Linked DNA regions of Tamandua tetradactyla. The protein of the gene in region 2 binds, or shares a complex with, the protein of the main gene of each other region. Links are inferred from orthologs where the notes say so. Each region holds a gene or a part of one and is shown on either strand. Other genes may lie near its edges.

Region 1 (7,747 bases), on a different chromosome or scaffold from region 2:
AAGCTGGGTTGAGAGATGGAGAAACTGAGTCCTGATGACAACATTTGAACTCTTGGATCCAGCTGTACCTGAGGTCAAATACTTCCAGACTTTTTAATCACATGAGCCCATAAAATCCCTTTTTTATTTAAGCCACTTTGATGTGGGTTTTCCATCCCCTGAAACCAAAAAATTCCTGACTAATCAGAGACCTGAGATCAAATCAATCAGACTTTAGTACACACCCTTCTAGCTTTCTCTCCTTTGCCCCGAATAGAGTTCAATCTAGAAGTAATAATAGAATTTATTGGGGTCCTGTCTCCATGGGGCTGAAAAGCACATGCCGGTCATCAGGAGCTCGGCAAAGGCACAAAGAGAGTCACTTCAAGATCCGGATGCTCATCTTTTGCTCGATATTCATCTTCTCTAAGGACTGGAAGGAGAGGAGTGGTCATCAAGAGGCTTGAATCTCAATCCTCTGTTTCCAACCTCCTCCCCCAGAGTTCTACCCATCCAGAAACCCCACTATTCCCTGGGAACTCCAATCTTTCTGCCAACGTCCTTTGAACTTCATCTCCTACGTCCATTTGACTTAAGGCTCCTTATCTCATCTCCCCAGATCCTAAGGGCATTCTGACCTTGGTGAACTCCAGGAAGGACACAGCCCCATCCCCATCTTCATCAGCCTCCTGCACCGTGCGGTCAGCAATGCTCTCCAACTGCTCTTCTGTCACCTGCACTCCTACCATCAGTCGGAGAACCTAGGAGTTTGGAGAAGAGGCAGCAATAAAAAGGAGGCAGAAAGGCTACTCCCATCATCGCCAAAACCTTGCTCCCATAAACCCTCGAAAGTGATTACCAAGTTCATATCCATCCCTCATCCATCCTCCACCCCATTCACCATCTCATCTGTAACTATTTCCAATTCCATCTCCCACTTCATCACAACATCTATTTCAGAGTTTCTCAGCCTAGGCACATTCAGATTTGGGGCCAGATAACTCCTTGTTGTGAGAGGCTGTCCCTGTATATTGCAGGATGTTTAGCAGCATTCCTGACCTCTACCCACAAAATGCCAGTAACACAATATCCACTCCAATTGTGACAACCAAAATGTCTCCAGATACTGCCAAATACCGTTTAGGGGGCAAAATTACCCCAGTTGAGAACCACTAATCTGCTCCCAACCTCACACCCAACTATTCCCCACTCTATCTCCCAATAAACCCACACTAACATCACCCATCCCCACTCCTCACCCAGTACCCCAGGCATCTGCACCTCCCATCCACCCCTCTCCCACCATCTGCCCTCCACAACCATCCATTCGACCATCTCAGCCTCCACACATCACATTTCCTGCCCTTGTATTCTTCCAACCTGTAGCATCTCATGCCTAGAGATCTTTCCATCGCGATCCTGGTCATAGAGCTGAAAGGCAACTGGGAAGAGAGTGGAGGGGGGGAAAGAAGATGGATCTTCCCTGGTTCTCTCCCAGGAGAAGGTCTCCCTGAAGGAGTGGGGGAGGGCAAACTCTAGGCTCACAATGGAAATGGAAGGTTCCTGGGGCCTCTTGCTGATGTGGAAAAATCTGGGGTCTCTTGTGGGTGGTTCACCACAAACTCACAGCGAAGTTTATTCATTCTGCTGTTGAGGGGTTCAGGTGCTCTGGGGTCCCGGTTTCCTGCATCCTCATCATCCACAGGTCGAAAATGAGCCAAGACTCTGACAAAACCTGGGAAATCCACACGCTGATTCCTGGGGGTGGGATGGAGTGGAGTGGTCACCTTGGTCCTTCTCTCTTCCTCCGCTTCCTACCTCCTTCCCGACACACACGCATACACAAAGGGTTTTCCACCTTCAGCTCCCACCGCCGGCGAGGCTCACCCATCAGGGAAGAAGCTGTCTATGATGCGGTCTCCCAGGGGGTTCACGGCCAACGCCCCAATTCGCTGAAGATCCATGCGACTGCAAAGTTTAAGTTCGAAGCAGTAGATGGAGGGTCAAAGAGGGGGATGGAGTCAGGGAGTCAGCGATCAGAGGTCATCGGATCAGTTCCCCCTCACCTCAGGTAACCCTTCTTGTCCTTATCCAGGGCCCGGAATCGGTGGTAGAGACGGAGCAGACTGGCTTGCGAGACTGCGAGAGGGAAAGCAAACGGGTGACAGCGCCAAGGACGCTCCGGACGCGGCCGGACAAGAGAGCCGCGGGGCGCGCTCAAGAATTTCTCTCCCGGCAGCCCCGCGAGGTGGGCGGCGCGTAGAGGGGTTTGCTGGAGGGGGCGTTCAACCCGGAAAGCCGGGGGCGGGGGCTGGCGGGGTTGGAGGCTGCGCGCAGAAACCCAGGGCAGAGCAGGTTCGAGACCTGCGGCGGCTCGCTGCCTCCCGCCACTCCCCTCCCGGGGACTCAAGGGACCGAAGTCAGCCTCCTCCACTTGCCGTCCTGACTCTGCCTCTAGTCTGGATCCGGGCTCGAGATCCCTGGCTGCCTCGATTAATCTGATCCCTCAACCGTGAATCCCGACCCTCCTCCACCCCGACGGCGAGACGCCTGGGTTCAGGCGCCACTAGCTCCCTTGGACCTCGGGGCTCCAGCTCCCCGGGGTGCGGACCCCCAGACTTCTAGATCCGCCCATCGCTCGACACAACCCTAAATGAGGGCCCCTACACCGGGGTCCTGCCTTCAGCCCCCTCAGGCCCCCCGCTCCCCGCCGCCTGGCTTGGACCGGGTGCCCCTGCTCCAGCCCTCGCAGCCGGGACGCCTGCGCCGGGGCGCGCCACTCACAGCCGGTCTCGCGCCGAATGTTGTCCACGTCGGGAATGCTCGCGGCGTGGGAGCTACCGGAGCCCATGGCGGAGCTGGGGCCGGGAGGGTCAGGGCAGCGGGCGGGCCCCAGGAGTTCTCTCCTCCCGCAGAAGAGGCACTGCCGCCCCAGTGGCCTCGGGGCCGAAGGCCAAGGGTTTGGCGGGCAGCCAGGCTCGTGAACCCCGGCGTTCCTTGCCTCCCACCCACGACAAGGGGCGAATAGAAAACAATGCCCAGGCGGCGAGGTCAGAGGGGCGGGTGCAGACAACGGGTTATTTCAGCCCGGAGATTCTGAGGTCGGCGCCGGGGGAGGCTGGGCGAGGCTGGCGCCCCGCCTTCCCCACGCCCTCCCGGGGGCCTGCATTCTCACGCTCCCGCCCAGACACCCGGGCGTTCTCCTCCTCCCCGCCCCCGCCCCCCGGCCCCCATCCCTTCCAGCCCAGGGCTCTCCCCCGCGTCGGTGAGCTCTCTAGCTTTCCCGTTGAGGAAGTCTGGGAGGTCCCGACCTTCCTCACCCTCTCGAGACAAACACCGAGCCCTGCTGGGGGAAGGAGATGGAGGGTGGGGAGGGGAGCCGGGTGCATTTACCCCAAACCCGGATGGCCCCAGCCTGAGCTGATTTGGAGAGAGGTGGAGCGCTGAAGGACTCCCAAAAAGAGGTGAGGTGCAGGTTAAGAGCTGGGCTAAGTGTAAAGAGCCCTGGATTTGGAGACCAGCTATGCTCCTAACTCTGGACAAGCCACTTAATCTTGGTTTCCTGGTCTCTTTAGTTTGGCCCACACAGCGTTATTGTTTAATTGAGCCAATACTTGAAAATCCAGAGATTTTACTAGACCCCCATTCCTGCTTGCAGGAACATGGTTGCAGCCGGGGGGCAGCTGCCGGTTTAAATGGGGACAATCGCCCAGGGTCCCCGCAACCCCAATTCGCTCCCGTATGCACCTCGTGGCCCTCCACTGGAAGCTCCCGGCTGGAAATGACTCCGACCTCCGTCGGGTCCTGAAGCACCTTTGCGATCCACAGCCTGGGAGAGGGCACAGGGAGCGCTGTGGCCTGGCCTAAATGATGACAGCCACGAGTGCCTTAGTTCATCCTGCACTCACCCCACCAGGCGAAGGACTCCGTGTGCGTTATCACTCACATTCCTCCCACCAGGCCAGAGAGGGAGGAATTACTACGATGTCCATTTTTTGCCACCAAGGAAACAATCTCGGAGTAGTGAAGTAATTTACCCACGGCCAGGAGCCAGCCAACAGAGTCCAACTCCTGAGCGGATGGAATCGCTGCACCTTCCCACTTTCGCTTGGTGGAAGCTGCCCAGGAGGCAAGTTGTGAACTATTGTAAAGCAGGTGTTCTCCAGGGGGGCTATATAGTCCCCCGGGTGGAGTGGGGGGCAAAAAAATCACATGCTTTTTCCTGTATAAAGCACAGATGCACATACCATACATAACCAGATATAGAATATATACGGAGGTTTAAAATTTCACGGAGAGGGGCAATTAAGAAAAACAAAAGTCTAAAAAGGCTCCTGGGGGTGGGGAAGGCAGTGTTGATGAAGAAAAGACTAAAAAACTCAGTTGTAAAGGAATAAGCTCCACAGTGTCCAGGTTTCAATCTACCTTCATCTTCCCCCACCATAATCACACACATGCACAGACTTCCAAGGGGAAAAAAATGCAGGCAGTTCTTTACAAGGATTAAGTTCATGTCCCCCTGGAGAGAGAGAAGCTGGAGACACAGTGAATCCTCCAGCCTCAGGCAAAGGCTTGCATCAGATGAGCCTTGAAGATATTGATCTAAGAAGTGCTTTCTCCTCTTTCTGACACCCCCAAGGACTAAAGCATGCGGGGAAACTGGCCTCCTCCCTAATGAAGCCTGATAATCACTGCAGTCCATGGCTGTGAGTGCAGTTTGGGTTAGATTCTGAACTCAGGAGGGGATAGGAGTCCCTGGGAAGCTGCAATAATCACCTCAGGCCAGCTTGGGATTCTGATCTTGGAAAGACCTTCTCCAGCCTTGCTCTGCAAGGAGCTCTCCACGAAAGCAAATTAGGTCAGAGAAGAATAAACAGCTCTCATCTGCACACGGTACTGAAGCCCACAGAAGAGTACAGGATGGTGGAGCACTCTTTAGAACCCATTTCTGCTTCATGCACATAAGTGGGACTTAAATTGACGCCATAATATATGTGGCCACATCTTTTCAGGTTTTAAAGTAGACGATGCTTTGGAGAGAATTTCATAGTAGAATCTGTTAAACTGGATTCAGGCAGAATGTTTGTGTTTTGTTTTTAAGCTACCTAAAAATTGCCAGCCATCCTTGACAAAGCAATACTGAGAATCGGCTGGGGAAATGAACGTACAAGAATAGCCAGGAAAGCTCTGGGAAGTAAACTTAACGAGGGTGAAATTACCCTAACAGATTTTTAAATTTTATTTATTTTACAAAGCTACAACGAGCTATGTGGTGGTGGTACAGGAAGAGACAGATAAGAAATAGACAAGAAAGTCAGAAATAGACACAAGTACATATGGGAATTTGCCATGTGATAAATATGACATTTGAAATTAGTGGGGAGAAATGTAGATTATTCAATAAATGTCATTTGGGACATCTGTCTTTCAGGGAAAAGAAAAAGCTATACCCCTAACTTCTTATACCCAAAATAAATTCCAGATAGAACAAAGATTTAAATGCAAAATGAAATTATACAATGCTAGAAAAAATTTTGGTTAGATTTTGTTATAATTTTGAACTGGAGAAAGTCTTTCTAAACATGCACAGAAACCATAAAGAAAAGATGGATAAATTTGACTATGTAAAATTTTTTAAATTAAAGACTTTGTATACATACAAACGAAAAGACAAAGTCAGTAAAATATTTGAAGTCCATATAACAGGCAAGGGAGGAGTACAAAGATCTCTTAAAAATCAAAAGGACACTAAACCAATAGAAAAAGTTGGGATAAGATGTGAAATAGAAACAGTCAGTAGGCATAAAAAGATCCTCAATCTCACAAGTTTAAAATGTAAAATAAAATGGGAGACTATTTTCATTTTTCATATGGTCAAGGCTGTAAGGAGACAGGTCATGAATTTCGAGCAGAGCCCTATCTCGCAGGGCTTTAGATTATGAATTTTATTTTATCTGTGATAGAACACAATTGTAGAGTTTCAAGCTGGAGCATGAGATGATCCAATTTCTGTTTTATCAACATCACAAAAATTGCCCTAACTGCTGTGAATAACTTTTGGGGCAAGGGGGGAAACTATTGCAATTATCTAGATGAAAGATGTCGCTGGCTTGGACCAGGTTGCCAGCAGCGGTGGTGGTGAGAAGTAGTCAAATTTAGGTTCGATTTTGAAAGAAGAGTCCATAAAATTTGCTGATGTACCAGATGTAGGGTGTAAGAGAAAGACGGAAGTAAAGAATGACTCCAAAATTTTATCCTAAACAACTGGTAAATGCCATTTGCCAAGATGGTTAAAAAACAAACAAACAAAAAAAAGGAAAAGGAGCACATTTCAAGGGAAGAAATAAAAAAGGCTTTAGTTGGGCTATAAGTTATGCATCCTACTAAACATATTAAGTAGTTACCTGGATACAAGAATGCGGAATTCAAAAGAGACATTGGTGTGAGAGCCTCACATTTGGTATGTTGTACTTTTGTTTTCATTCATCTCAACATATTTTCTAATTTCTTTTGTGATTTCTTCATTGGCTCATTGGTGGTTTAAAACTGTGTTGTTGGGCGGGCAACAGTGGCTCAGTGGCAGAGTTCTCTCCTACCATGCCGGAGACCTGGATTTGGTTCCTGGTTCCTGCCCATGTAAAAAAAAATAAAAATAGAAATAAACTGTGTTGCTTAATTTCCATGTATTTGTGAAATTTCTGATTTTCCTTCCATTATTGATGTCTAGCTTCATTCCATATTTTGTATGATTTTAATCTTTTAAAATATATCACGACTTGTTCTGTTGCTTAACATATGATTTATTCTGGAGACTGTTCCATGTGCACTTGAGAAAAAAATGTAATCTGGTTTGTCAGATGTTCTATATATGTCTGTTAGGTGTGGTATATTTATAATGTGCTTCAAGTCCTCTATTTCCTTATTTATTTTCCATCTAGATGTTCTATCCAAGATTGAAAGGGGCATATTGAAGTATCCAACTATTGGTACAACTGTTTCTACCTTCAATCTGTCAATGTTTGCTTCATGTGTTTTGGGGTTCTGTTGTTTGGTGCATATATGTTTATAATTATATAATCTTGATGAATTGACAGGGCTGTACACTTGGGGGTTGTGATGGTTAATTTCATGTATCAGCTTGGCTAAGTTATGGTGTCCAGTCATTTGGCCAAACAAGCACTGGCCTGCTTGTCACTTTGATGGTATTTCATGGATTTAAATCATTAGTCAGTTGATTGCATCTATGGCTGATTACATCTACAATCAACAAAGGAGATTGCCTTCAGCAATTTTAAGGAGGACTGATTATCTCAGCAGTCAAGAAGAAGAATTTCTCTCTCTACCTCAGCCCCTGGGTTCTTCTGGGGATTTCATCACCATCTTCACCAAAGTTCCCAACTTGCAGATTCTCGTGGGGAATTTAATGTCAGTATCAAGTTCCCAACTTGTGGACTTCCCTATAGAAATTGGACTTTGGCCAATGCCCACAGTCATGTGAGCCAATTCAAATAATGAATCTCTTAATATAGATCCTGTCAGTTCTGTTTCTCTTTAGAACCCTGAATAATACAGAAGTCATCAGTGTATGGCAAGACAACATTATCTAGGATGTGAAGAGAAAAAGTGAAGAGTTTCCAGGACTAAGCACTGGGGACAATCCAATGTTGAGAAGTTGGGAAGATGAGAAAGGATTGGCAAAGGAGCCTGAGAAGTAGTGGCTGCTGAAGCTGAGGGGAAATCATGAGTATAATTTTCCAGCTAAGTAAAG
Region 2 (7,508 bases):
TAAGGCAGGATGAGCAGCCAGCTTTCCAGATTTCTAGATTAATACCCTTGCCATGGCTGCATCTGTGCCATCCAGCAGCCCAGGGTCCTGGGCTCAGTACTCTGTGGTGACGAAGGCCAGGCCAATTAGAACTAAAGATACCATGAGGCTTGTAGGGATAACTACCAACAGCCCAAAATGGATCTTTGTGCTATGCTCTCATTCCGTCAGCCGGCACTGAGAGAGACCTGCATTGTGTGCCAGTCCCCAATGCCCTTAACACAATGCCAGGTGTGGGTCCAGAGGTGAGGGAGCTGGAGAGAGGAGGGCAGTTTATAGACAGCAATTGCAAGGTCTCTTCTGGTCTCACACAGGCAAATGACACATTACAGTGACTTCAGTTTTTTACAACAAGGTAAGACTCATGGTCTCAACTGGTATGGTCAAATCTAGAGAGTCCTGCCCATTTCACAGGTGGGAGAGACCAGCTGAAAAAGGCCCTAGCTTGTTTAAGGTCACAAAATTGTATCAGAATCAGTACACATGGCTCTCTTTGCCCAGTCCTTGACTCTTCCAGGAAGCACAGCTGCCACCAGTGTGTAGGTACTGGCAGCCCAGCTCCATGCCCAGCCCTGCCACTGTGACCGGCTCGGCACCAGGAAGCCAGATCCTGGATCTGTCAAGATTCAGTGAGAGTGCCAGGCACCAGTGCCCTTCTGCAGCATGTCCCAGAGCCTGACTGGCACAGCCACTCAGCTTCTGCATGTCCTTGGGAAAGGTGCCAAGAGTCATAAACACCCCAAACCCAACCTTAGGCAAAGAGGGGAGCAGAGACCCATGTCTCTGTGTCTTCCACAGTTCGCTGGGGACTGAAAAAAGCAAAGGCAACAATCAAAGCCAGCCTGGACACCACGACTAAGGATTGGGACTTCTGAGCTATGCAGGTTCTGGTCAGCTCCATCGACCACCCAGTAGGACAGGATGCTCAGGCCTAGAAGGGAAACCACCCCTATGGGAGGGAACAACTTTTCTGCTCCTTTGCCCCAAAAAGGGCATTTCAAAGTCTCTTCAGACCAGAACACCCTAGCCCTTTCACCTATACCTCTTCTACTTGGACGGACAGAAAGCCAATGTGACTGGACAGCTCAGATGGCACATAAGACACAGCCAGGTGCTAACCTGGAGGTGAGTTAGGTCCAGACCAAGCTGCAACTTCCTCCGCTCTCCCTCCATCCTCAAAATAAGCCTCAGAAATGTCTAGGGTCCCTGTCCCATAAACTGTATAAAGCATGGCATTCCTGGGCAGGAAACTGACTCAGGGACTCCTAACCAGCCTGGACAGGTAAACCTGACAGATAGCATTCTGGGGATAAAGGAATGTGAGAATCTGAGAATCTCTCATGTTCCACCCCACTTATAATCTCCAGCACCCAGGGCTCCTGCTATACAGGACAGGCCTCAGACAGGTCAAGTAGAGAGGGCTATTCTCTGTCCTGGGCCACTCTACCATGAAGCATGTAATTGCACCAGTTGCTGTCCACAAAGCAGAATGTGCCTCTTGCTGGAAGAAACTTCTGAGTCTCACACACATCTGGGTGTCTGGCTCCCAAGGGGTCTGGCCCAGCCAGGGGAAGACTTGTCAGGCCTGGAAGTCCTGCTGAAGGTACCTAATATCAGTGGGGGCCATCCTCTCATCCTGCCTGCTCTCTCCCACACAAGATGCTGATTTCCATTCTTAGCAGGCCTCAAAACCTCAGAGGCCACAAAGCTAAAGTTTGAGAAGGACCAAGATAGCAGGATGGAGGCTGCCCATGATCCAGGACCCTTATTCCTGGGCAGCCCCAAATGGTAAGCCAGTCAGGTGGTGGTGGTGGCATGAGAGCCAACTGGACTTACCTATCTTCATGAGGCAGGCCAGCAGGATCCACAGGGAGATCTCAAAGGGTATGCGCACGTGTGGGTAGTCGATACCCAGGACTGGAAAGGCCTTTCGTGTCTTCGTGCTGTGGTCAGTGACGGAATGGTTAACAGGGCGGCTCTCCGGGGTGACCTCAGGTGGGGCGGTGGTGACATCCCCGATAGAGCGCTCCCGGGGTGGCTCGGAGCCCCGGATGGTGCTGGCAGTGGGGCTGGGCTGGAGGCCATGGCTCCTGAGGACAGGTAGCAGTCCCACCAAGGCTACCACCATGAGAAACGAAGGGAAGATCCGTGGTGGAGAGGGGCCACTGATGCCACGCCACAGAGGCATCGTCCTGCTCCCTGGGCCCAGTGGGCCTCTACCTTTAGCAAAGGGAGAGTAAGACGTGGGACATGGGTAGGAAGGGGTCCGAATGCCAGAAGAGAGACTGGAAGAGTCTCTAGGAAAAGTTCATGTTCTAGAGAAGTACTTTCGTGGAAGCAGTCCTCTGGGGTGGAAAGAGGTGGGGGGGGGGGGTCGCAATAGGTGGGAACCCCAAGATTTGAGACCGAGAACTGGAACTCCAAAATGGAGAAGAGGGACAAGGACCCAGGAAGGATTGCAGGAGGAGACAAAGGTGTGGAACCTTAGGCCTGGAAAAGAGAGGGGGAGGGGAGGAGTCTGAGCCCTGGAGCCAGAGCAGGGGACTGGGGTGGCTGGACCCCAGGCAAGTGATAGGAAGAAGGAAGACTGCGACCCTTGGCTGAGGAAAGTGACTGAGGAGCTGGGACTGTGGAATAAGGAAAGGGGTAGGGAGCCCAGGCTAAAGGAAGGGGACCAGGGAGGATGGGACCCAGGCCAGGAATACGGAGAGAGGACGCTGGGAGTCCAAGCTGCCAGGAAGGAATGAAGCCGGAAAGCGGCCGGGTGCTCCCCACCCAGAGAAGGGCTGGGGTCGAGGCGCTGGGCTGAGATTCCGGGGAAATGGAGGGAGGCGGAAGGCGGAGGAAGGCAGCCCGGCAGCAGGGCGCCTCGGCGCGGGCTGGGGGCGGCTGGTGGTGGGCCGGCGACAACACGCCCCTTCTTGCGGCCCCTGGACGTCGCTGCGCTCCGCCACGGCCCGGCGGCAGGTCGTCCGCGTCCAGGTCCAGTCCTAATCCCAGCCACAACCTCAGCCCGGGTGGCAGCAGACTGATTCCGCGCTGAGCCCGGCGCCGCCTCTTATAGGCACCACCGAGCTACCGGAGCCCGCGGCTAGAGCGACCTGTCAGCGCCCGCGCAGCACAGCGGCCCCTTTCGCCGAGGGAAGGAAGTATCACGTGGGAAGAGCAAGAAGAGTCAAGAGGCAAAAAAAGTAAAGTGATTTACTATTTAAAAAGCGCTTTCACCTCCACATCCGCGGGCTCATGAAGGCTTATCAATAATCCTGTGAAAGACATATTATTATCTTAAATATTTAGTTACCATGTGACCCTGAGCAAGTTTCTGAACATGTTCCACAGCTTTCTCATCTGTAAAGTGGAGGTAGTAGTAGCACCTGTACCAGGATACCGTGATGACTAAATGAGATCAAGTATCTAGAATGGCACACCAGACCATTACTAGGAGAAAACTGAGGCACAGAGTGTTCCTTAGCTAGAATGTAGGTTGTAGAGCGAGGTTTGAATCTGTGGTGTTGATTGGCAGTACTTAATCACTAGAAAGTTTTTTTTAAGTGGTGTTGCTGGAAACCCATCTTTAGAGGTTTGGATTAAACTGCTTCAGGAGAGTGCCCAGGCATGGGTATTTTTTTCAAAGATCCTTGGGCGATTCTAATGTACAGCTTACATGTGTGAGGACAGAGAACTACTAAACTACTGAAATGCTGTCCCTGTTTTGCAGAAGAGTACATTGAGGCCAAGAAGTCAAAGTGACTAGTTCAAAGTCACGAGTGATTTCACAGGGATTTGATTCAGCTTGTCCAACATTTATTGGGTATCTTGTGATAAGCCTTGGCTGTGCTCTGCCAAAATAGAGATGAATGACATGGTTTTTGCCCTCAGTTTATACAGTGCCCAGTGTCCTAATTTTCCATTGGATCTTCTTTCCACTACTCTAGGACTTCAGAAAGTAGAAAATAAACTGCACTCTTAGGAGGTTGCTTCTACCATCTTCTGTGGTTCTGGATTTCAATCCTGGGCTTCTCCAATCTCGTAAGGCAACAGCATACAGTGGAAAGATTACTGGATTTGTTGTCAGATTAAGATAGGTTCAAATCTAGTTAACTGTTGCCTGATGAATGATCTTCAGCAAGTCATATCACCTTTTTGAGCCTATTTCTTCATCCATAAAATGGGGGTGATGACACTAACAATATCTAAGTCAAAATGGATTCTAGTGAGAACTAAAGTGTATGTGAAAGCACTCCATGAAGTCAAAGTGCTAGGCATATGTCAGTTTCCGTTATCTTCAAATATTTATTCTACTGAGCACCTTCTTTGTGTCAGGTGCTAAGTACTGGGCATACCGCCATGAACAAGACAGACAGGGTCCCTGCTTTCATGGAACTGATGCTCCACTGGAGGGAGAGAGATAATAAATTAAACAAATGGATAAGAAAAAATATTGATATGCATTAAGAAGCAAATAAATAAGATAACGCATATTTATGTACACAAAAGGCAGTGGGTATAACAATGTCCATAGCAGCAGTATTCATAATGGCCAAAACTGAAAATAACCCAAATAGCCAACAATGGCAGTAAATAAATTGAGGTGTATTCATGTGATAGAATGCTATATAGCAACAAAAATGAATGTGCTATTGCTAAACAACAACATGAATGACTTTCACAAACAAAGTTGAGTGAAAAACACTAAACATAAAATTCTAAATACTGTGTAATTGCATAAAGTACAAAATTAGGGAAACTATGATGTTGGATGTAAAGATAATGATTAGCTTTGGGGCGGAAGGAAGAAGTAGTGATTGGGAAGTGGCACAAAGGAAGGGGTAGACTGTGAGGACTTCTGATGTGCTACTAATTTTTTACAAAGGTTACATAGATGTAGTTGTTTTGTGATAACTCTTTGAACATGCAGGCCCTCGTGGGTGCACTTTTCTCTAAGTTTGCTAACCCACCACAAGCAAAAAGATATATTTAAATAATAAGAGTAATGTGACCATGACTGAGGGTGACAACACTGAAGCAAGTTCTCTGTACTTCACATTCTCCTGGCATAGGCTCAGCTATCACGGAGATGATGGAAGAGCCTAGAAGGGCCTTCAGGGAAGACGAGGGTCCCTGTGTCACCTGGGAACAGATGAAAAGAGAACATCAGCTGTAATGGAAGTAATCAAAGAGAGGAATGGCATCTAAGCAAGGACCAGAATAGCGACAATAATGCCTTGCAATTGTTAAGCCTTTCATAGTTCACAAACAAGTCCCCCAGGTATAGCAATGATCCAAGCCCTGGTGCATAGTGAGAGCTCAATAAATACTAGCAGTTATTCTCATTCTCATTTTACAGATGAAAAAACCACAGCTCAGAGACGTGAAGCAGTTTGCCCAAGGTCACATAGCCCAAGGCAGCAAGTCCAGGACTTAAGTCAGGGTTCTGACATCTGAGTCCGGTGCTCTTTCAAAACACCAACAAGCTCAGCATAGAAGAAGGAACACAGGGAAAAGGTGTGGCCAGGATACAGATTTTCCACAGGTACGATGGGGCAGAATTCCAAGACCCACAGTCCTTTCTAGTCTCGAGGGCAGCATTCACTGGTACGTACTGATCCCTCCTACTCTCTAACTCCTCTGAAACTCCTCAGTGAGTCTTTTTGTGCCAGCCTGGAGGTAACGGATCCCATGAGAACCAGGAAATGCCTCCACAGCCTGGAGTTTATGACAACCTGACAACACCAGGAAAGAGCCCTAAGGAGAAGCCACTTGGAGCCACCTTTGGCCAAGGCCCAGCCCAGGCGAGATCATGTAGCATAACAGTTGAACATTCAGGGGCTGGGAGCCAAACTGTATAGGTTCAAATCCCATTACCACCGCTTACTAGTTAAGACCTCAGACGAATCAGTCAACCTCCCTGACCCTTGGATTATTCCTCCATAATGTGTGGGCAGCAATCGTGCCAGCCTCATGGGGCTGTGAGGACGATATTTGCTAATATACGTAAAGCACTTAGAGCCGTGCCCAGCAAGCACCGCACACACTCACATCATCACTACTCACATGCAGCAAGGGCCGCAAATGTAAACCTTGGCGTTAGGGCCACATGAAGTCACACATTCAGTCACAGCAACATGCTGACAGGCTAGAAAGAAGAGCCTCTTGTCTGTGAGACTGGTCCTCCCATCAGACCGCACCACCTGAGATATGCTATGAATTTAAAATGTTTAAATAAATTATGTTGCTGAGAATTTGTGTGTGTTAAAAGCATAAGCTTGTTAAAGGTAATCCGTTAAAATAAACTGCAATATTTGTCACCCTCTTGTAGCAGGTCCTCATTCTTTTTTTAACCATTCCAGGCCCGCACTGCTCTTGACTGGGAGAGGCCACGTCTCTGCAGACTCTCCCTCTGCAGATCTTGGGCCACTCGGGGTGCCTGGGCCCTGCTGGCCTCTCCAGGTGCTTAGCCATGTCTGTCCTCCTGCACCCTTTGATGAATCCCTTGACTAAAAGTCCTGGGCATTTTAGGGACTTGCTATAGCTATGAGGTGTACAGATGCGTGGCAGGGAAGGCATGATGAAGAAAGGATCGCTTGGCCACTTCTTAGGTAAGTCACATCTTGTTCCTGTTCCTCAGATTGTTCATGGGTATGGAAGGTGCCATAATACCCACCTCGTGAGGCTGTTAGTAAATGACCGGTATATGTCAGGCACGGTTGCCGACACGTTGTTGGCACTCAGTAACTGAATTTGTTTCCTTCTTTCCTTTGTTAGAGTAACACAGCCCAACAAGGACATTCTCCCCTTCCATCACTCCACTCCATCCACACTGACTCCTTGTTATTTTGCACTGCCAGGCACGCTGCTGCTTCAGGCCCTTAACACCTGCTGTTCCCACTACCTGGAACACTTCCCCAGATGGGCACCCGGCTCATTCCCTTACATCCTTCAAGCCTTTCCACACATCTCTCTCTCTCTTTTTTTTTTTTTAACATGGGCAGGCACTGGGAATCGAACCCGGGTCCTCTGGCATGGCAGGTGAGCATTCTTGCCTGCTGAGACACCGTGGCCCACCCTCCACACATCTCTCTTCTCAACGAGGCCTACAATGTGATAATCCTGTCTCAGAGTGGTGCTTCCCCTGCCCAGCTACCACCACGACCCCCCTCTTCCAGCCCCACTGCCCGGTCCTCTTTTATGCTTTTTCCACAGCTCTTGTCACCTCATATACTGCATAACTTACCTGTTTATTATATTTATTGTCTGCTGTTTACCCTCTAGGATGTGATTCTGGGAGGTCAAGGGGCATGTCTGTCCTGTCTGCTTTTCCAGCACCTAGAACAACACCCAATGCATAGCAGGCACTCAGTAAATATTTGTTGAAGGGATAAATAACAGGATGCATGATTTGCAGATGAGGAAGCCCAGGCACCGAGGACAGCCACTCGTCTGAGGCCACAGAGCTGGGAAGAAGAACT

The links. The genes of interacting proteins can lie anywhere in the genome.
Region 1: the proteins of SLC9A1 (region 2) and CHP2 are in contact, whole or in part, in a crystal structure (PDB 2BEC), measured with the Homo sapiens proteins. The link is inferred for Tamandua tetradactyla from reciprocal best matches to the Homo sapiens genes SLC9A1 and CHP2. Residues at the interface, in NP_003038.2 of Homo sapiens: Ser517, Ile518, Asn519, Glu520, Ile522, His523, Thr524, Gln525, Phe526, Leu527, Asp528, His529, Leu530, Leu531, Thr532, Gly533, Ile534, Glu535, Asp536, Ile537, Cys538, Gly539, His540; in NP_071380.1 of Homo sapiens: Arg30, Arg34, Leu38, Leu51, Ile54, Ala56, Leu57, Asn60, Pro61, Leu62, Ile66, Phe70, Phe83, Leu87, Phe90, Tyr118, Ala119, Leu122, Tyr123, Met136, Val139, Leu140, Met143, Ile156, Arg159, Thr160, Glu163, Ala164, Phe177, Ser180.

Annotation. Positions count from the first base shown.
Region 1 is NC_135349.1:33,319,204-33,326,950, forward strand, and holds the start of CHP2 (calcineurin B homologous protein 2), read right to left. Parts: upstream 3,082-7,747; 5' UTR 2,831-3,081; coding exon 2,764-2,830; intron 2,119-2,763; coding exon 2,046-2,118; intron 1,948-2,045; coding exon 1,867-1,947; intron 1,738-1,866; coding exon 1,607-1,737; intron 1,422-1,606; coding exon 1,360-1,421; intron 741-1,359; coding exon 618-740; intron 413-617; coding exon 359-412; 3' UTR 1-358. UniProt on the Homo sapiens protein: Functions as an integral cofactor in cell pH regulation by controlling plasma membrane-type Na(+)/H(+) exchange activity.
Region 2 is NC_135328.1:199,116,592-199,124,099, reverse strand, and holds the start of SLC9A1 (sodium/hydrogen exchanger 1), read right to left. Parts: upstream 3,074-7,508; 5' UTR 2,228-3,073; coding exon 1,876-2,227; intron 1-1,875. UniProt on the Homo sapiens protein: Electroneutral Na(+) /H(+) antiporter that extrudes Na(+) in exchange for external protons driven by the inward sodium ion chemical gradient, protecting cells from acidification that occurs from metabolism.